2 linked regions of the Alligator mississippiensis genome follow. The protein of the gene in region 1 purifies or fractionates together with the protein of each later gene. This does not show direct contact. Links are inferred from orthologs where the notes say so. Each region holds a gene or a part of one and is shown in the gene's direction. Other genes may lie near its edges.

The links.
Region 2: the proteins of S100B (region 1) and IQGAP1 purify together in Homo sapiens (co-immunoprecipitation; 3 studies listed by BioGRID and IntAct, with this or other methods). This does not show direct contact. The link is inferred for Alligator mississippiensis from reciprocal best matches to the Homo sapiens genes S100B and IQGAP1.

What each region holds. Positions count from the first base shown.
Region 1 is NC_081827.1:188,577,722-188,587,071, forward strand, and holds the start of S100B (protein S100-B), read left to right. Parts: upstream 1-5,620; 5' UTR 5,621-5,716; intron 5,717-9,350. UniProt on the Homo sapiens protein: Small zinc- and- and calcium-binding protein that is highly expressed in astrocytes and constitutes one of the most abundant soluble proteins in brain.
Region 2 is NC_081834.1:413,024-422,667, reverse strand, and holds the start of IQGAP1 (ras GTPase-activating-like protein IQGAP1), read left to right. Parts: upstream 1-5,811; 5' UTR 5,812-5,872; coding exon 5,873-5,927; intron 5,928-9,644. UniProt on the Homo sapiens protein: Plays a crucial role in regulating the dynamics and assembly of the actin cytoskeleton.

The sequences.
Region 1 (9,350 bases):
AGCTCCTTGCCCCAGGAAACCAAAACTTATAATTCCTTTGTGTGACTTCCTCATAGGAGCCCCTCTGAAGGGACAAAAACAGCTACTGCACCCTTTATACGAGAGGTGGTCACAGACACCTGAAACAAAGAATCCTATAATCAGTGCTTGTTACTAGGGCTGTGTGAAGCTTCAGTTGCTGATTTGATTTGGAGGAGATTCAGCCAGAGTTGGTGGCTGAATTTCCAAGTCCAAATCAAATCGAGAGACTGATTAAAAGGTCTGAATCAATTCAGAGATTTGGGCAGTCTCTGCTCGCCGCTGCAGGGAGCTGGACTCAGGCTTTGTGCCGGTAGGTAGGGGACCATGAGGAGACCCCCACCAGGCCCATCCCCTGCCTGCTCCCCCAGCCCCCCAAACCCCTGCCCACTCTCCCAGCCCTGTCAGTGGCTGCTCCACCCAGCCCCAGCATCCTGGCACTTAAAAAAACCCACACTCAGTGACTGCTGCAGCAGCCACTGGGGCCTCTGGGGGCTCGTGGCAGAGCCTTCCCCATGCCATACAAGGCAGCGGGGATTGCCTCCCTGCCTGGCAGTAGTCAGCTAGTGTGGGACTTTTTTTTTTTTAAAGTGCTGGGACACTTGGGCCGGGTGGGGCAGCCATTGACGGGACTGGGAGAGTTGGTGGGGGATGAGGCCTGTTTGATTTGGAGATTCAGCCGATTTGGTGGTAGACAAATCTCCGAATCAGATTTGTCCAAATCGCTTTGGGACAGTGATTTGAATTGCCAAATTGAATTACTGCCCCCCCCCCAAATCAGCCGAATCCAAAGTGAATACTAGCTGTTTTGCACAGGCCTACTTGTTACCCTTGAATTAATCCTATCAAGTCTACAGAAATCCAGCTTACCTTTCCATCCTTCCATATGCTTTGTGCTTCATTAGTGTTTGCTACAAACATCTACCCAGTCATCTTCCATCTGGTGTGTGAGCCCTACAGCAAATCATTTGTTCCCCTTGCACAGACTTGGTCTCCTGGTTGCTACTGTAAATTCACAATAGTCCTGGGAAGCTGTAATTGCTGCAAAGCCCCCTCACTAGATAAAGAGATCTGGTTTTATCCCATTTCCTGTGGGAACTGTAGGGTCCATCTTTGGACTTTGGCTGAACTGTGAGGTTGAATCGCACATTTCCTTGGATTGTGCAAACTAATATACACCAATTTGTGTTTGGAAGCAATTTCTGGGAGTTTCTTATGATAGCAATGTGAGATGCTGGGGCCAGGCCAGAAGCCTTGGCCTAGGCCCAGGCCAGAAGCCTTGGCCTAGGCCCCTTTGAATTCACCCCAAGGTCTGCTACTAGTTCATAGCTCCTTGTGTGAGATTATTCTAGCTGTGAGTGGGGGAAGCCTGCTCAGATTGAGCTCTTCCTACCCCACTGCACAGATGAGAGCGAGAGACTGTGACTGCTGCAGGCACCTAACAGCTCTGGCTCCCAGGCCTGTGTATCCACAAACACAACCTCCCCCTTAGTTAACGGTAGTGTTTTTGCTGTGCCAGCCCCTCCCATCTACAAACGTTCCCCAACTGTTCTCTATGAACCCATAACCTGTTCCTTCCTTTCTCTGGCCAGTCCTTGCTCTTCATCCACCAGGTTTCATTCCCCTCCTTTTGTGAACTCTCTGGTCCCTCGCCCCGCCACCCCAAGTCCATGCATCTCAGAGGCTTAATGGGCACATCCTGGGTTGGGATGACTTACTGTTGAATTTGGGTATGTTCGGGCAGTTATGCTGGCTGCTGCCTCTCCGCAGCTGGCCTCACCTCCCTTGAATTAACTGGAAACAATTAAGATTAATCAGTAAAATATTCTTAAACCAAAAATAAACACGTTTCACAAGGATTTAAATAGTTCTTGGTAAATTGCCTTAAAGTCATACTTTATGTTAACCCAGCACAACAATTTAATGTAGACACAACCTGTTAGTATGGTATTGCTAATCCAAACAGGCAAACAAATGAGTCTAGTTTCCCAAATCAGAAGACTGGTTTATGACATTTTTGTTTAATACATTTTAATTTTTTTATATCTGGCTACCAGTTTTAGAGCTTTTAGAAGTGCGCCTACTTCACATTTTCAAGAGAGAGCAGGAGCTGACTGTGCTGCTGCTGAAATATAAGGTGGAGCGTAGTTTTAGATATATGTGTTAGGGTGTGGTGTGATTTTTTTTTTTTAATTACTAAACTATTTATACATGTAGAGACTCTAGTATGATCATAGCAAGTCTTGTGTAAAGGTTTTTGTGCCTGAGAAGCTTTTTTCATTTCCATTATGGAGCATATCAGTATAACTTGTCCCCACTAGGGGGAGTTGTTCAACTTCAGCAATATCTGTATAGATAAAGCCATATGGATTTTTCAGGGAAACATCCTATGAGATATTTTATCTAGAATATTTTTCTGCTGTTCTGCAGTGTAGACATTAGAGGGAGCAGAAGATACAAGAAATCCAGCACTGTAGCAGATTCTGTAAACAGCACCCTCAGGATCTCCTTTGCTGCTGCTATAGTTCTGCTGCAGTCATTCACTCCAATACAAAACAAGGGCAAACCATTGCTGTTCTGATTTGGTAGCATATTATAGGTACTTTTCATTCATCTTGTGCTGGTGTAAATATCTACACAAGGCACTGAGAAATTAGGCCAGGCTTAGAAAATTTAGGTTAGTGCATTGTTAGGCCTTTTCTGAACACAGGTGCGCAGGTTTAACTAACTTAAAGCCTCCTTTTTAAAACAGTTGCCAAACAACTTGCATTGATTTAATGCAGTAAGGAACTGACTTAAAATAACACAGATCAGCTCTCATGTGATATAAAAGTGCATCAGTATTGATGATTCTTATGCATTTACTGAGTGATTCTTTTGATATTTGGTGCTTTTTCTTGAAAGAGTCACAGAGTCTCTACTGAGGAAAACCCAGGCTGTAGATGTGTTCCCTCGGTGAGGTCAGGCCATGATAAGTGTTCTCTTTCACTCTTCTGCACAACTTGTGCTGGTGGGGTAAAAGGTTTTGGAACCAGAGAGCAGTGATTATTAGTCAGCTCTGCACTTTGACTACTTGGAGTGCCTTATAGAAGGGAGTGGAAAATCACTGTATTACAGCAGCCCCTGGTTACATATGCCTGCACCCTATGCTGCATCTTCTCATAGGGGATATCAAGATATGTGCCAAAATCTTGAGTGCCTAATCCTTCAGCTATGTTCAGTATCAGCAAGAAAAAACAAAATTTGCTTTTCATCCTTACCCCCACACTGTCCCTTGGTGGTATGGCCAAGACCTGCACCCCTCCTTAAAGCAAAAGGACACCTCTGAAGAATGTTTTCCCATGATGGTGATCCCAGCTGGAGGGATGGAATGGGTGCTGGTACTGTCCCAGGGTCTGAGCCCCAGCTCAATATGTGCATTAGCTCTGATTTTGTGTAAGCCATAAGGTCTTTGTGCACAACCAGCCGCCTGTTTACCGTAGCACAAGGCTTATAGCTCTTGAGCTTTCAAGCAGTCAGTCTGCACTTTCAGACACCACTGAATCGTATTCCTGGAGTCAACAGAATTTCCCCTGCTAAGGGGTAACAAGAGAGCATCAATTTGTAGAAATAAATGAACAGATGGCATTTACACTTGACTGGAGATTGCAATTACTGCAGGGCTGGATTGGCCCTTTTACAACAGTGCCTGGCTAGGGACAGAAGTTTCTGCAGGGGAAACCCCTCTAGAGCTTTCTCTTTATTCATCCAATCCCCTCAAGAGCAAGCAAGTATCCTGCTGAGGGGAGGACCAACCCGGCAGATCGTCCTTAACAGTGGACTTGTGCCTTTATCTCTGAGCTTCCAGGTGACTTCCATCTCTGGGACTTTTTGAATTCGTGGCTCCCAAGCCTGAAAGTCCCCCCAGCTATATCTCTGCAGAGCCAATGTTCATCATCTATTCATGCTATTTCTCCAGAGAGTTCTCCTGAGAATCTGGAAAGTAGCAGATGCCTTCTGCAGGAATAGCAAGGAGGCCCCAGGGGCATGACTGAATCCTTCGTTAGTGAACAGCACAGTAGTGAGGGAAGGAGCAGGTAGGTGCTTTTTCACCAGTAATTCAAGATTTTCCCCTCATTGTTCATGAAATCTTTCTGAAATCTATTCCTTCCCAATAGACTGGCTGACTGTATTTAACAAACATTTAGGACTCATTCATATTTGCTCACATGGAGGTTTTTTTGTTTATTTTTGCTGATTTCACTGTACTTTGGATAAGATTCTCAGTTACTGTGGAGATTTCCCTTGATTTTGATAGGCTTTGAATCAGGCTTTGGAGTATGAGCCTCATCCACAGTTGTCTGCCCAATAGTCTAGGTTTCTTCCCATCCTATGGGATTTAGGATTCAGTTGAGGATTCCCAATTAATTGCCTTCATTGCCTCATTTGTGAGTTGCCACATTTGTGAGTTAGCGAGTCAGCTTCAAGAAAGAACAATTCGTTATAGAATTAGCTTTTAGAGACGGTTGGATGTATCTGCATGATCTCTGACTCTTCAGAAACCGTTGTATGCTACTAGCTTTGCAACTAAGCCCCTACGCTTAAAGTAGAAGCATGCTACTTACCATCTCCCAGGTCTCCTGCTCTTGTTTCTTTTAATAGTACAGAAGACCCATCAGTCAGTATCTTATTGTCACTCAGAGCCTGGTGCGCATACACTTATCAGCGACAAAGAAGGAAACTGGCTTTTTCATCTGTGTCTGCTACAAAAAGGCCTCATTGTATTTTATTGGGTAAAGGGTGGGGTGCAAACAGAAGAGTGAACGAATTAACACAACAATTTTTATGTATTACTTTAAACATGTGACCCAATTCATAGCTGCACTGAATTTAGACCTAGTGGAAGAAAGTGAGGTGCGTGTAAAACAAAAAAAAAAGAAATCAAAGCCTGTTCTAACCCTGTGAACCCCAAAATCCTGTGCATCCTATTTTGAAAATGTTAGCAATGGAGTAAAATAAAAAGTAACCTTCCTTTAAAAAACAATAAGGTACCCTAACAATAAGGTAAGCAAACCTGAAAGCAAAGTCATATGCCAGCCAGCCAGAGCCAAGTCTAGAACACTTAGTTTGGCACTCAGCAATAATTCTGCACAAGCTTCCCTGACTATTTAGCCTGGATCTTACCTGTCGTACAACTACCAATTATGTGGTGGTTCAGAATGTAGAAAAAAATTTACCTTCAACAGTGACTAGGGGCCTGACCCAGAAGCCACTAAAATAACTGGTGGCTGGTCAGGACCTAGGAACGTAACAACCCCACAGCTCATTCATTCTGTTCAAAGGTAAAAAGTCAGATCATTATCCCATAATAATACTGATTCCTCCCCTGCAAACTGGGTTTTCAGAGCCTAAATGTTTTTGACTTGGTGTTGCAGGGCACCTTGGTGCCCTGCTCCTAGAGAGTGGAAACTACCAGGGAGAGAGAGCAGGACATAACGAGCACAGCTGCAGGTTGCCAGGGCAACTGGAGGCAGCGAATGACTGACACCTGACAGTGGTTAGTTGGCTGTAAGGGGCAAGGCCTGGCCCTTATAAAGCCCAGAGCTGAAGCCAAGCTGGCAGTTCTCTGCCAGCGGCCGGGGAGGCAGGAGATCCTGGAGCTAGGATGCGAGCATTGTGGGAACCGCTCTAGCTGAGTGAAGGAGGGCAGCTCAAAGAGGTTTGATCACCATGGTTTAGCCAGATGGCTTATAGTTATGTTGTAGCCTAGGGGCTTGTGGTTTTGTTGTTGTTTATTACACCGGTGGCTAGGGTGAGGCTATTAGGGGTTGGAGGAGGCTTCATAGGGAGCCCCAGGGGGGTGCGGGCCCCAGCGCCAGTGAGGGGGCAGTATTATTAGGGAGCCCCAGGGCGGGCGCGGCAAGCCCTGAGGAAGGCCTAGTGCTGCAGTAAACCCCGGAGAAGGGCGGTGTACTGCGGTGAACCCTGAGAGAAAGGGGGTAGCAGTGTGGTGAGCTCTGGAGAGCAGGGCTAGCAGTGCGGTTGGGCCTGAAAGACAGGTGGCTTGACGAGAAGTCCCAGAGAGGGTGCAGAAGTCCCCAGGAAAGGGGGCAACATTACAGGGAAGGCCCCAGAGAGGGGCAACATTACAGGGAGCCCCCGAGTGGGCTCGGAGAGCCCAAGAGGGGGGGCAGCATGACAGAGGAGGCCCAAGAGAGCGGGCAGGTGTACACAGGAGGCCCCAGAGAGGGGTGACATCACAGAGAAGGCCCCGAGGGGGCTTGGAGAGCCCAGGAGGGGGCAGCATAACAGAGAAGGCCCGAGAAACGGGCATGAATATAGGCAGAGACACACCAACATCTATTCCATCTGCGAGGCTTGGGGCGTGGTATCGGGGGTGGCTGGAGCCACGTGTAGCTCATAAGGCTAGGGTGCCTGGGAAGCACCCATCATACGAGGAGACCCCTGGTGGGTCCGGGAAAACACGGGGACAGAGGTCCCAGCTAACTGTGCCCAAGGAGACGTGAGGCAGCCTCCCAACTTAACCTAACATCAAAGACGTGGTGGGTAAGAATAGAGGGTGCCCTTGGGCTGATTTGGCACGGAGGAAGGGGCCTCAAGGAGTTCACGGCCCTCCTGTAGGACCCCCCCGTGACACTTGAGCTGTACTTACAGGCACAAAAGAGCTTATGATTTCATTCCAACATCCAAAATCACACCCCCTCTCGCTCCTTCAGAATAAATAAGGGTCCCTCTGCCTTAGGCTGTTAACACTTTTAAATAAAGCTTCTGCCCCACTCCCCCACCAAAAAAAAGATGAAAGAGATCCGTTGCTCCAAAAGTATAGAGCAATATGTGATAGAAAAGCAATTGCGTACACAGTAATGTGATTCCATAAAGTACTTTTCATACATAATTTTTAAAGCATTTTACAAAACAAGGCACTTCTGTTGTCTGCATTTATGGATGGACAAAATTATGCATAAGAGCACAGGAAAGTGATTTGCACAATGCTCTCCATCAGTTCAGTGGCAAGGACAGGAACCAAACCTGGGACTGTGCCAGTACTCAATTAGTCTTTAACATACAACTGATATTGGTGGTCATTTTCAACTTAAGCACCTGACCCAGGGGTGGGCAAAATGTGGCCTGCCAGGCCATTCTATCTGGCCCATGGGGCCCCTAAAAAATTGAGAAAATTAATATTTATCTGCCCTGGGCTGCCTGTCATGTGGCCTTCAATGGCTTGCCAAAACTCAGTAAGTGGCCCTTTGCCCAAAATAATTGCTCACCCCTGTACTAAAGCCTCTGGGTCCCCAGAAAGTACAAAGCTAAGAATAATTCAGACATTTGATGGAAATATTCAGGGATCTGATTAAATAAATATTTTATTTATGTATTTATTTTAGTACATAGTGAAAAGTAACCACACAACAATAAGAGTCACTGAAAGTTACTTTAAGATATTTATATAGTCAATGTAGGGAAAAAGGACATTTTACTTAAAGCCCAACACCTAGAGAATAATGAACTATTCTGTTGGTGTTTTCTTCATTGCTTCTGTGCAATAGCCTTTCTAAATCACATTTGTTTAGTCCATGTTAAGAACATGCAACATTCCAGGTGGAGGGTTCTTTTGTGACTGTGATCTATCTGGATTTCTGTACATACTTGTTCCATTGGAGCTATTGGTAGTTGTGTTCCAGATTATTTGTACATTATCCTGAAGACCTTATCTATATTATCTTTTCCCTTAACATCTCTCCTGTTTACATTAGCAGCAGTATAACACCACCATGGGAGCACTTCTCTAGACCTGACATTGTTATTGTATCACAGTGCTGTCAAATCCCACTCGCTATGGGCATTTATATATGTGCACCAGGGAAGGGGGGAGGAGGGAGCAGAGCTGCTTTAATTAGAGCGACTCCAAGAACCACTCTTATTAAAGCACCTGGAGCATTATGTGTGCCAGTGTCCCCATGCTGAAAAATGGCAGCAGGCACCTCCTAGATCCTGTTATAGATTCATAGATGTTAGGGTCGGAAGGGACCTCAATAGATCATCGAGTCCGACCCCCTGCATAAGCAGGAAAGAGTGCTGGGTCTAGATGACCCCAGCTAGATACTCATCTAACCTCCTCTTGAAGACCCCCAGGGTAGGGGAGAGCACCACCTCCCTTGGGAGCCCGTTCCAGACCTTGGCCACTCTGACTGTGAAGAAGTTCTTCCTAATGACCCATCTAAATCTGCTCTCTGCTAGCTTGTGGCCATTGTTTCTTGTAACCCCCGGGGGCGCCTTGGTGAATAAATACTCACCAATTCCTTTCTGTGCCCCTGTGATGAATTTATAGGCAGCCACAAGGTTGCCTCTCAACCTTCTCTTGCAGAGGCTGAAAAGGTCCAGTTTCTCTAGTCTCTCCTCGTAGGGCTTGGTCTGCAGGCCCTTAACCATACGAGTGGCCCTTCTCTGGACCCTCTCCAGGTTATCCGCATCCTTCTTAAAGTGTGGCACCCAGAATTGCACGCAGTACTCCAACTGCGGTCTGACCAGCGCCCGATAGAGGGGAAGTATCACCTCCTTGGACCTATTCGTCATGCATCTGCTGATGCACGATAAAGTGCCATTGGCTTTTTTGATGGCTTCGTCACACTGCCAACTCATGTTCATCTTGGAGTCCACTAGGACTCCAAGATCCCTTTCCACCTCTGTGCCACCCAGCAGGTCATTCCCTAGGCTGTAGGTGTGCTGGACATTTTTCCTCCCTAGGTGCAGCACTTTGCATTTCTCCTTGTTGAACTGCATTCTGTTGTTTTCTGCCCACTTGTCCAACCTGTCCAGGTCTGCCTGCAGCTGTTCCCTGCCCTCCGGCGTGTCCACATCTCCCCATAGCTTTGTGTCATATAGTGAGAGAGTTATAGTGAGAGAGTTCCTAAAACAAAATAGTGTAGACGTAGCTTTCCCACGCACGGACTTGTAAGTATTGTTAATGTCTTTCCAGAGCCAGCACAGATGGTAGAAACTGAACATGTCAGTGTGCATCTGCAATGGAGTATTATCTTCCTAATCAGCTACAAACTAAAACGCTAACATCAGCTCCTGGGGTATTTTTCTCTTCCATTTTAAAGCAAGACTGCCTTAACAGCAGGATTTACAAGAAGCAGGGATAATGGAGCCAAATAGAGAATTTATATTGGGCTTTGATAGGTTCTTTGGCCTGCGGAAGAAAGAAAATATCTACCCAGGTTGAATTACTATGACTGAGAAAAATATACTGTATTTCTTGCCTGCCAAGTTCTGTTGTCCATTTATATCCTGTTCTCAAGTGAATACAAATATCCTTGACAGTCAAG
Region 2 (9,644 bases), on another chromosome or scaffold:
AAAGTGCCATTGGCTTTTCTGATGGCTTCGTCACACTGCCGACTCATGTTCATCTTGGAGTCCACTAGGACTCCAACATCCCTTTCCACTTCCGTGCCACCCAGCAGGTCATTCCCTACAGATTTATCCCAGTCCTTCCTACAGAAACCTTTTTTGTATTTTAAGATGTGCAAAGAAGAGCCGGAGTGGCTTGAGAGGGTTTTATACTGTGTTAAGAGCACAGGAAGCCAGGGGCCAAACTAAAACAAAAAAGATAATAAAATCTGTCCAAGCTTCACCCACTTGAGACACCAACATGTGACTGTTCGCAGTAGGTTGTGCATGCTTTCTGCACCTGAGATTTTCAGTGGGGTTCAAACTTTTATTAGCGCTAAAATTTAAAGTGCACAAAATTAATGCATCATATGTTAACTAGATTAAGACAGGCTAACTGCTAGATCTCAAAGTAACTGTAGATCAGGAATCATCTTTGTGTGGGGTATTTCTTGCAATGTCCAGCAAAGATCTGTTCTTGCCCCTGAGCAATACTGTATCAGTGATGCAGAGCAATGGTGCTCAACCCTTTGGTCCTGTGGGCCAGGTGAGTGGTGCTGATCCGGTAGGCAAGATTGCTCCATGGGCCAGATTCAGTGTGGTGTCAGCATGCAGAGTTGGTCTGTGGGCTCTAGAAGCTGCAGCAATTAATGCTGAAACAGCTCTTCCGACAGAGAGGAAACAATGCGAGTGGCAAGTCAGCCACTGCTCACAAAAACTGGACAGCTTTTAAGGGGACATTGTAGTTGTAGACATTGAAAATGACACGTACCCAAGCAGCGATGTGGAAAATGAAGAGAATCCAAGGGTCAGAAGAAGAGTTGGACGTGGTTAGAGCAGCAGGCAAATCTGATGGTCCTTGTAGCAGTGTTTTTGATAACTGGAGATGGGAGTACCCAAGTTTTCAGAGCAAGCAATGCCAGGGTCCCCTGTATTAATGCAGACTCACCACCAGTGCTGAACCTATTCGATAGAAATGCTGAAATGAATTAATTGCAGCATGTGTAACAAGTAACTTCTGGTGATCAATCTGTGCATGCAGATACCAAGTGTGTTACCATGGTGACAAACACTATACAATTAAAAACAGTATTTTTTCTAAGAACTCTGAATATATCATTACCTGTGGTAGTTTTCATAGAAATCTAGCAACGATGTTGATGAGAGTGGTCCTTTGGGGTAACTGGCTGATATTCCTTATCATCCTTCCCCACTGCTTTACCATTGATCGTTGAAGCAGTGGCAGGAACTAAGTGTTGGCTTGGAGAAGATCTCTCCTTGCATTCCATGGAGTTGCTGGGCACAGGGTTGTTGGAACAAAATAGCCCCGAGTTTCTCATAGATTGCATTAAAGAATAGCAGCAAGAGCAGCTGAAGGCAGAGTAGAAGGAAATGGACTTGAAAGGGAGTGAACGACCTTGACACCCAAAAGTATTGTTAGTAGCCTGTACTCAGCTCAGCACCTCTCCTGCACCTACGTGTATTCCTCTCCAGTGCCAGATGGGCATCGCTGTCTCAGAAAGGTTCTGCTATGTGCCCAAAGGACCTGTGCAGTTCACAAGTCAAGCCCAGCAAGCTAGGGCATCTAGAGCAGAAGCCTGATGGGGAGTGACCTCAGGAATTACATTTTGAGTGGGCGTATGTGGCTGTGATTCTTGAATGCGGGGGGAGTGTCTTTTGCACAAATTGTCCTTCCAAACAGTCTTGGATGGCACGCTAAGTACCTTACAGACATGGGGGCAAATTCTTTAAGGCACAGATTAACTGGATTGACAGTGCATTTTACGTACATTATGCTACTTGAGGAAAATTCAGCAGTGGGGCTGGAGGAGTTAATTTGGCTTGGATCTCATTTCCAGCTTGGCCTTTACAATCAAAATGCCTTTTCTTCCTCAAATGTAGCTGTTTTCCAGAGACTCACTTTGAAAGAGTGTCCCTGAAACAGATACTGGATAGTAAAATCCCAAGAGGCCGCAGCAGAAGTGTATTTCAATTGACAAAAAGCTGGATGAAGTGGAATGAAAATGGCCTACTGAATTCTCCAGGGGTTTTGGTGAGAGCTCTGGTTGCTTCTGGATGTTAATGAGCTTGTAGCGGCAGCCACAGCTCAGACCACTGATAGAGACCCAGCTCGCTGTGCCTAGCGCATGGCTGACGGTGCCAGGGCGCGCACGGTAACTGGGGAGCCTGCTGCACTTCCAAGACTCGCCCAGTCTTCTCTGCTGCCATGTAACTGGCACGGGAGCTGCCCCAGGATAGTTCCTTAATTAGGGATTGTTTCCCAGTTGGAAAAAGAAAGGGATGCAATTGAGCAGGATGCTGCGTTGGGACAGAACAGCAACAGAGACCCTGCCTACTTGCCAGATCTTTGCAAATTGTTTCAAAAACAGGGAAGGGAGGAGTCATTTCCATTTTCAACAGTCTTTTCCAACTAATTACGTGTATTCATTTCTATTCCAGCAGTGCCAAAAGACCCTTATCAAAGATCAGGGCCTCATTATACTTGGCACTATCCAAATGAATAATAAAACATTCCCTCCTCTGGGAAAGGTTTCAGTTTTCCCAGTAGATTGCCAGACATTGGGAAAGGTAGTGAAATGATATAAAGTCAGCGCTCCTCTCGTCTCATACCATGCAGCTCGAAGGATGAGTTGGTAAGCAAATCGTGCGATTGGATATTTTATCGAACAAAGACATCTCCCTCTGGACAGACGGGGCACAGGAGTTTGGACTCGCTGGAAGCCCACCCAGGATGCCTTTTGGGACAGGAGCAGGCTAGGAAAGTGCACGGCTGATCCTGACAGGAGAAGAGCTACATACTAAGGGCAAAACTTGGGCTATGGTTGTGTTTGCTCTGGTTAAAATGAGAGCTGTTTCAAAACCCAGAGTTGGCAGCATAGCAAACTGAGGTGGCATTTGGACAATGATGGTACTAATGGCCCTAGCTACCTGAGCACCAGACTTGAGACACCCGATGCCTGGTTTTTGAAAGGGTTACTCAGGACGCAGCTGACACCCTTGGGAGCTGTAGAAGGAGCACGGCTTTGAGAATCAAAGGTCCCAAGTTAGAATCCTGCTCCACCACTGACTCACTGTGTAGCCTGGGGCAAATCCCTGCATCTTCCTTTCCACCTTCCTCATCTGTCAGGTGGGGATTACAGTATCCCTAGTTTCCCAGAGGTGTGGTTGCAAGGATCGGTGTCTGTACCTTGCTTTGAATGCACAAAAACGCTAATAAGTGCTCCGACCATCAAATCTCAGGTACCCCACATTGGGGGTTTTCACTGAGGCACAGGAAATTCGTGCAGGGTTTAGATGGGAGGCAATCCTCTATCCTCTCCCAGATTTGGGAGGCAGTCCCCTCAGTGCCTACGAAGGAAAAGAAGTCCTGTCTCGTTCACTGAATGGCATTCGTCCTGCAACTGGAATCACGTAGGTGTTCTGTGCAGAGTTTGATCGTATAACTAGCTGCATCATATGCACAAAGGGGAAGATATAAAATCGTTGAAGCAACTTTGTATCTAGTAATGAGTTTGCAACCAAAAAAACCATTGTTTAAAATGTTGGGTTTTGTATTCTAGGTACGTAATTGCACTGGGAAATTGGGCAAGGTCAGAGAGGAAGAACCTGTGATGCTTGTACACTGCTACAAGAAGCTTCAACAATGAACTGTTGGACTAGAACTTCAGTTGTGACGTGGCGGTGATCCTGGGATGGTGAGGTATTTCCATGGCAGCCTTCCCCCATTGACACTGGTGCACAGGACATGCATTCATTTCTTTAATTTTTCTCTCATTTGCTGCTGCCTCCATTTGCCTTATGGTGCTGAGATTTACTGCTCTGCCTTCCTTGGTAAGGGCTGTTCTGAAAGTTTCCCAGGGAAGCCCTCCTTACTCCCATCAGTTATTTCACGTGGGAATCTTTGTGCTGGTATCCGGAAACAACATGCCTCAGATGTCTAGTGCTTCCCTCTGATTCTGGCGGAGGCGAGCTGCTGGCTGGGGATTTCTTGGACCTCTTGAGTGGCGAGGAAGAGTGCCCGTGCAGTGCCCACAATCTTTCACAGGTTCTCGTTTTTGAGGACGTTCTGTTTCCTGTATAATGTGGTAAATCCCCAGCTCTTGCAGCCCTGCTGTAGCATAGATTATATTGGAGTTGTAAAGACTACTCTCCACTGTGGTTCCAGTGCTGCGTATCTTTGCTTTGCAGGTGTTGTTGAGCTGAATAAATGTGGATGTTATTCCCGTCTCTGATGCCACTGAGCTCTCTCCTGGTAACATGGTGCTGCCCAGGTAGATGGCCTGGTTTGTTTTCTACAATGTTTTTGCCTTCTGGTGCGATACTGCAGTTTCACAGGGCACTGGCGAGACCTCGGAAAGACTGCATGCGATTCCAGTTAGTTGAAAGAGGAATTCAGACAGGAACAGGTATAGACGAGGGTTACTGGGATGCTCTGGGGAATTGAGAGCCTAACGGTTGGGTTTGTTTAATCTAGCGAAACAAAGACAGATGCAGTGTGATGTGACTGTAATTTGTAAATACAGGAAGGAGGTAAACATCATGGCTGGGAAAGAAAACAGTCTAAAATAAAAGACAACGCTGGCACAAGAATGAATGGAGATTAACGTAGCTGTGAATCATGTAGGCTTGAAATTAGAAGGCTCATAACTATCAGAGGAGTGAGGTTTTGGAAGAGCCTCCCAATAGGAGAAGTGGGGGCAAGAAACGGGACTCGTTTTACGATGGAGCATCAGTGTGTGGATGCGACCACGCGGCGTGGTTCCCTGCAGCAGCAGGACACTGCTAGGCTCAGCGACCCAGGAGCTGTCGCCCGGTCCCACGTTCCTGTGTCCACGTGCGCACGCCACGGTAGTGTCTCCTGCTTCCACCGGGAGATTTAGAAACAACAACCATTGCTGGAAGTATTCAACTGAAATGAGTTAATAAAAAAGTGGGGGTTTTTGGCAGGGGGTGGGCAAACCTAAGATTTGGACCAAATCTGAACCAACTAATGCTTTTTCAAGAAACCTGTTCAGTTTCTTTCAGCCCTAGTTCTCTACGATCTACGCCGGGGCCCACAGCGTTTTTGGGCAGCGCCAGAAGCCCCCGCACGACCCGGACTGGTAAGGTGTCGGGGTGCTGGGATGCATGGCAGGGGACCCGAGGGGCCTGCGCCCGGGCGTGGCAGTGCGGCCCCAGCCCCTTCCCCAGCGTGTGCCCCGAGGCGGGCACGCCGGCGCTGGCACGAGTGTGGGGCTGCCTGCCCCGTTGATGACCCGCTCGCTCACCCCTCTTCCGCGAAACGTGGCACAGATCTGTGCTGCAAGAACAGGTGCTGGTACCGCCCGGCCACCGCCGAGTCACACCTTGCCTGGGCGGTGTCCCCGTGCCGTGGGTGCGCGGACAGGGCGTGTCACGGCGCGGGCTGCCACCGGGTCTCGTACAGCCCCCGCCCGCCACGCTGTTGGGCCTGTAACAAAGTCGCCCCCGCACGAGGAGGCGGCTGCAGCTGTGCGGCCCGCGGGGTGGCTGCCCTGGCGCGCGGGGGCCTTGCTGGACCCCCCCCCCGCCCGTGCACGGGGGCAGCGGCGTGCTTGTGTCCGCTCCCCCCCGGCCCGGGGCTGCCCGCCCTCGCCGCCCAGCGCCCCGCCCCGGCCCGGCGCAGCAGGCAGCGGAGCGGAGCGGAGCGGGGCGGGATCCGGGGCGCGGGCGCGGGCGGCTCCTCCCCGCCGCCACGCCCGGGCAGAGCAGGAACAGGAACCGCCGCTCCCGCCCGCCCGCCCGCCCGCGCAGCCCAGCGCAGCGCAGCGCAGCCCCGCGCCCAGCGCACCCGGCCGCCATGTCGGTGTCGGACGAAGCGGACGGCCCCGGGGTGGCCCGGCCACACTATGGCTGTGAGTACCGGCTCCGCTCCGCCCGCCCCGCCCCGCACCGCGCCCGGCAGGCAGGCAGGCAGGCAGGGAGGGTGGACGGACGGGCGGGCGGGGGGCGCGGTGACCCGCCCGCGCGTGGCGTGGGGAGCGGCCGCAGCGCGCGGTGGCGGAGGAGACGCCCGCAGCCCCCGCCCCGCCCCGCCCCGCACGGAGGGCCCTGGCACCCGTCCCTTCCCGGAGCGGGCGCGGTGCTGAGCCCCGGGCCGCCAGCACGAAGCGCGCTGCAGCGGGGGCGCGGGGCGCCGGGCAGGTGTCTCGCGGCCCGGCCCGGCCCGGCCGTGTCGCGTGGGCAGCTTCCCCCCGTGGCGCGGGGGCTGCTCGTGCGTTGGGTGGCAGCGCCGAGCAGCCTGTGCCGGGCGTGTGGGGTGGCCGTGCGGCCCCGGGTGCTCGGCCTTGGCTTCCCCCAGGCCTTGGGGCCGGCTTCCCTCCTCGCCTGCCAGGCCGTCACCCACGTGCGAGCCCGGGAAGGGAGGCTGCCTGGGGATCCCCCTTCAGCAGCTACCTCTCCCTGCTCATCCAGCACTGGAGGGCTGGGTTCCTGGCCTCCTCACCTCCCAGCTGCACCCAGGCCTGGCACATGTTGCCAGCGATGACTCAGTTCAGGCCCTGCTCCGGGCTCTGTAGCCCTGCCTCTGCCCTCTCTGGGACTGGCTCTCGCCAGCCCCAGCTCTCGTTCTTCCTCGGCCCTGTTCCTGGGCTCTGGCCCTCCACCACCCCCGGTCCCAGGCCCAAACCACCAGTGTTTTCCAGGCAGGTCCACAATACTCTACTTGCCTGCCCTACTCCCAGGCTCAAGCGTATCCCTGGTGCGAGTCAGGGGCTCCTCTGCTGCCCTCCCGGGTGGGAGCTCTTCCTCCCATACCTGCCCCCGCTCGGGCCCGGGCTTATACGCTCTCACCTGGCCCCTTCCAGTCCCTTGAATGCCACCTGGGCTCTTCCTAGAGCCTTTCTCCTGAAGTAACAGGAGCGCAAAGGTGCCTGTTACGACGTGCAGATGCTGCACAGACCCTCAGGGTTAGGATCTGAACATGGTGGAGTTTCCAGTTTCTCCTGTGTGCGTCCCTGTCCCATGTGAACAGCCCAGCATTGTGCGGTGGAGATGGGCTGCAGTCCGTACGCACGTCTTCTCCGGCGTGAGGTGCCCGGTTCTCTCTTCGTGCCTCCTACTCGCCTGCGTCAGACGCCCGGCTGCCCTTCCATATGTCTCCTCTTGCTTCATTTGATACAAGAACATTTTGGTTGTTGCAAGACGATTCCTTTTTTCTGCACAAAGAGACTGTCTCCTTTCTGAATCGATACATAATCTGTTCCCGTTTGTAGTCCTAATGTAATTTTTAACATTGAAAAGCTGATAAACTGTAGCGTTAATGTTTTAACTTTACCTCTGCCCCTTCTGTATCTGCATGGTGAAGGACGTGACTGCGCACCCTTCTTTGCACAGGCTCCGGGTCTCATTCTCAGTACCGGTTAGAAGGGGGATGAGGCTTGGCTTCCAAGAGAATGAAAAAGTGCTCCTGTGGGGTTATGGCTGCTTTGAGACCTAAATTGTCACAATTGCATAGAAGCAAATGGATCTTACTTTGAATATGCCTGTGTGTAAATGGGTAAATAGAAAATGAGGGCTGGAAGGGACATCTGGTCCAGCCCCCTGTTCAAAGTAGGACCAGCTCCAGCTGTTAGATTTGGACGCTATGTATATTGAGTAAGGTGAGGGGTCTCTGTTTAGTAGTAGTGGAAACAGGAGTACAGGTGCTAATTGCATGCTAAATGAGTCTAGGATAGTTAGGAAATAATAGTATGTGATTATGTATTTTAAACACTGTATCGTTATGCAGATGTGAAATGAGAGACTGTGTTGCACAAGCCCTGTCTCCATTAATGGCAGCCTGCAGCTTAATTATGTTAAAAACCCCAGATTAGACCCTGCTAAATGCAGTTGAAGTCTTTTTTGGGATTTAGCTGTGAAAATCACTAAGCCACTGTGAAGGGCAGTTTTAGCCCTTTCCCCCAAAGGATTTATAGATTGACCAGATTTGGGTGGGTTTTCATAGGACAGCAAAAGGCACTTTTTTGATGTAAAGGCCACCCATGTACCAAATGCCAAGTTCCTGTTCAAAAGTATGGCAGTGCTAGAGCTTCTTAAAACTAATGTCATCAGGTTATTTTAAAATGGGCAAAATATATTTTTCTTTCCACTTATTCTTGGAAATGGCTGAACCTCCTTGTCTGAAAATTTTCAGAATGATTCAGCCTGAGGTTAGCGACCAGTATGCAGAATTTCAGCCTAAATAGCCAAAGTTTGAAGTTGTGCCCCATAAAATAGGAAGCATCAGACAGTGTTATAACAGCAGTTGTGCTGTCAGCTCACTTTGGGTCAGAAGGAGCGTGCAGATATCCATGTTACCAGATTATGTAGTTGTCATCTTCCCCCTTCATCTCAAACTTCCCCAAAAATTCACGGTCGAGCCAAGATTAGACACTGACAGTGTTCATTTGAAATCCTGTCTAGCACTACTCCAGCTATGCAGGTGGTCCAGTCAGAGACATTGCTGTTAGAAATCCTTGCTTCTCCCAGTATGAATCACAAAACCGTGGGAAAGCAGGGCTGGAAGGATGCTCCAGAGGTCGTCTAATCCAGTCACCTGCATGAGGCAAATCCATTAGCTAACCTCTCAGCAAAACTGCGTGGTCAGCCGTGACACAGTCACACAACGACACCTGAACCTGCCACAGGTAAAGCAGGGGGGCCATGGCGGCCATCGTCCCACGGTTGTTAAAAAACACTCGAGGTCCAAAGAAGAGAGCCAGGCCCCACTCCCTTTAGAGGAAGGTGTATGGACCCCCCCCAGTCTGTACGAATCTGACCGCAAGGTAAACCCCCCAGCGTAGTGTTGGTCTGGCCTTAGCCAGGAGCCTCTGGGTGCAAGTCCCAGCAGCAGCATAGGCACACCCCAGTAAAATACTTCTGAGGAAAGCAAAAAACCAAACAAACCCCTAAAACACACAGCAGTAGGGGGAGAAAAATTTCCTCCCAGCCCCATCTGGGACCCAGCAAAGCCCACAAGCCTGGGAAATACCCACAGTAGAGCATGGCAGTAGCTGCGTCTAGATCCTCCCTGACCAATGCTTATCCACTGCATGAGATGCTCCGGGCGCTTTAATTACAGGTACCGTATCCCAAAACTGCATTCGCCTTTTGTGCAACTGCATCATGCTGCAGACTCATGCCGAGTCTGTGATCTACCAAGACTTCCATATCCCAGGGGTAGTTGAAGGGAGGATGCACATGTTTGCGTAGGCTGCAGGATTGCAGACAAGGACCTGGGGGTTGAAGTGGACTGTAAGCTGAACATGAGCTAATAGTAAGCTCTTGCTGCAAAAAAAAATGCCAGTGACACCCGGGGTTGTATTGAGAGGAGTGTCACTTGCAGATCGCAGGTGTGGTCTCTCCTGGAGTACTGGGGCCAGTAGTGAGACCCGCACTTCAGGACAGACATGGACAGATTAGAAAGAGCCCACTGGAGAGCGACCAAAACGATGAAGCCTGGAAAACATGACTCCTGTTTGGAGAAGAGAAGACGGGGGATTTGATAGCAGTCTTCAAATACCTGAAGGATAGTTAAAGAGAGGATGAAGAGCAGAGACTTCTTTGTGGCCATAGGGAGCAACGGCCTCAAA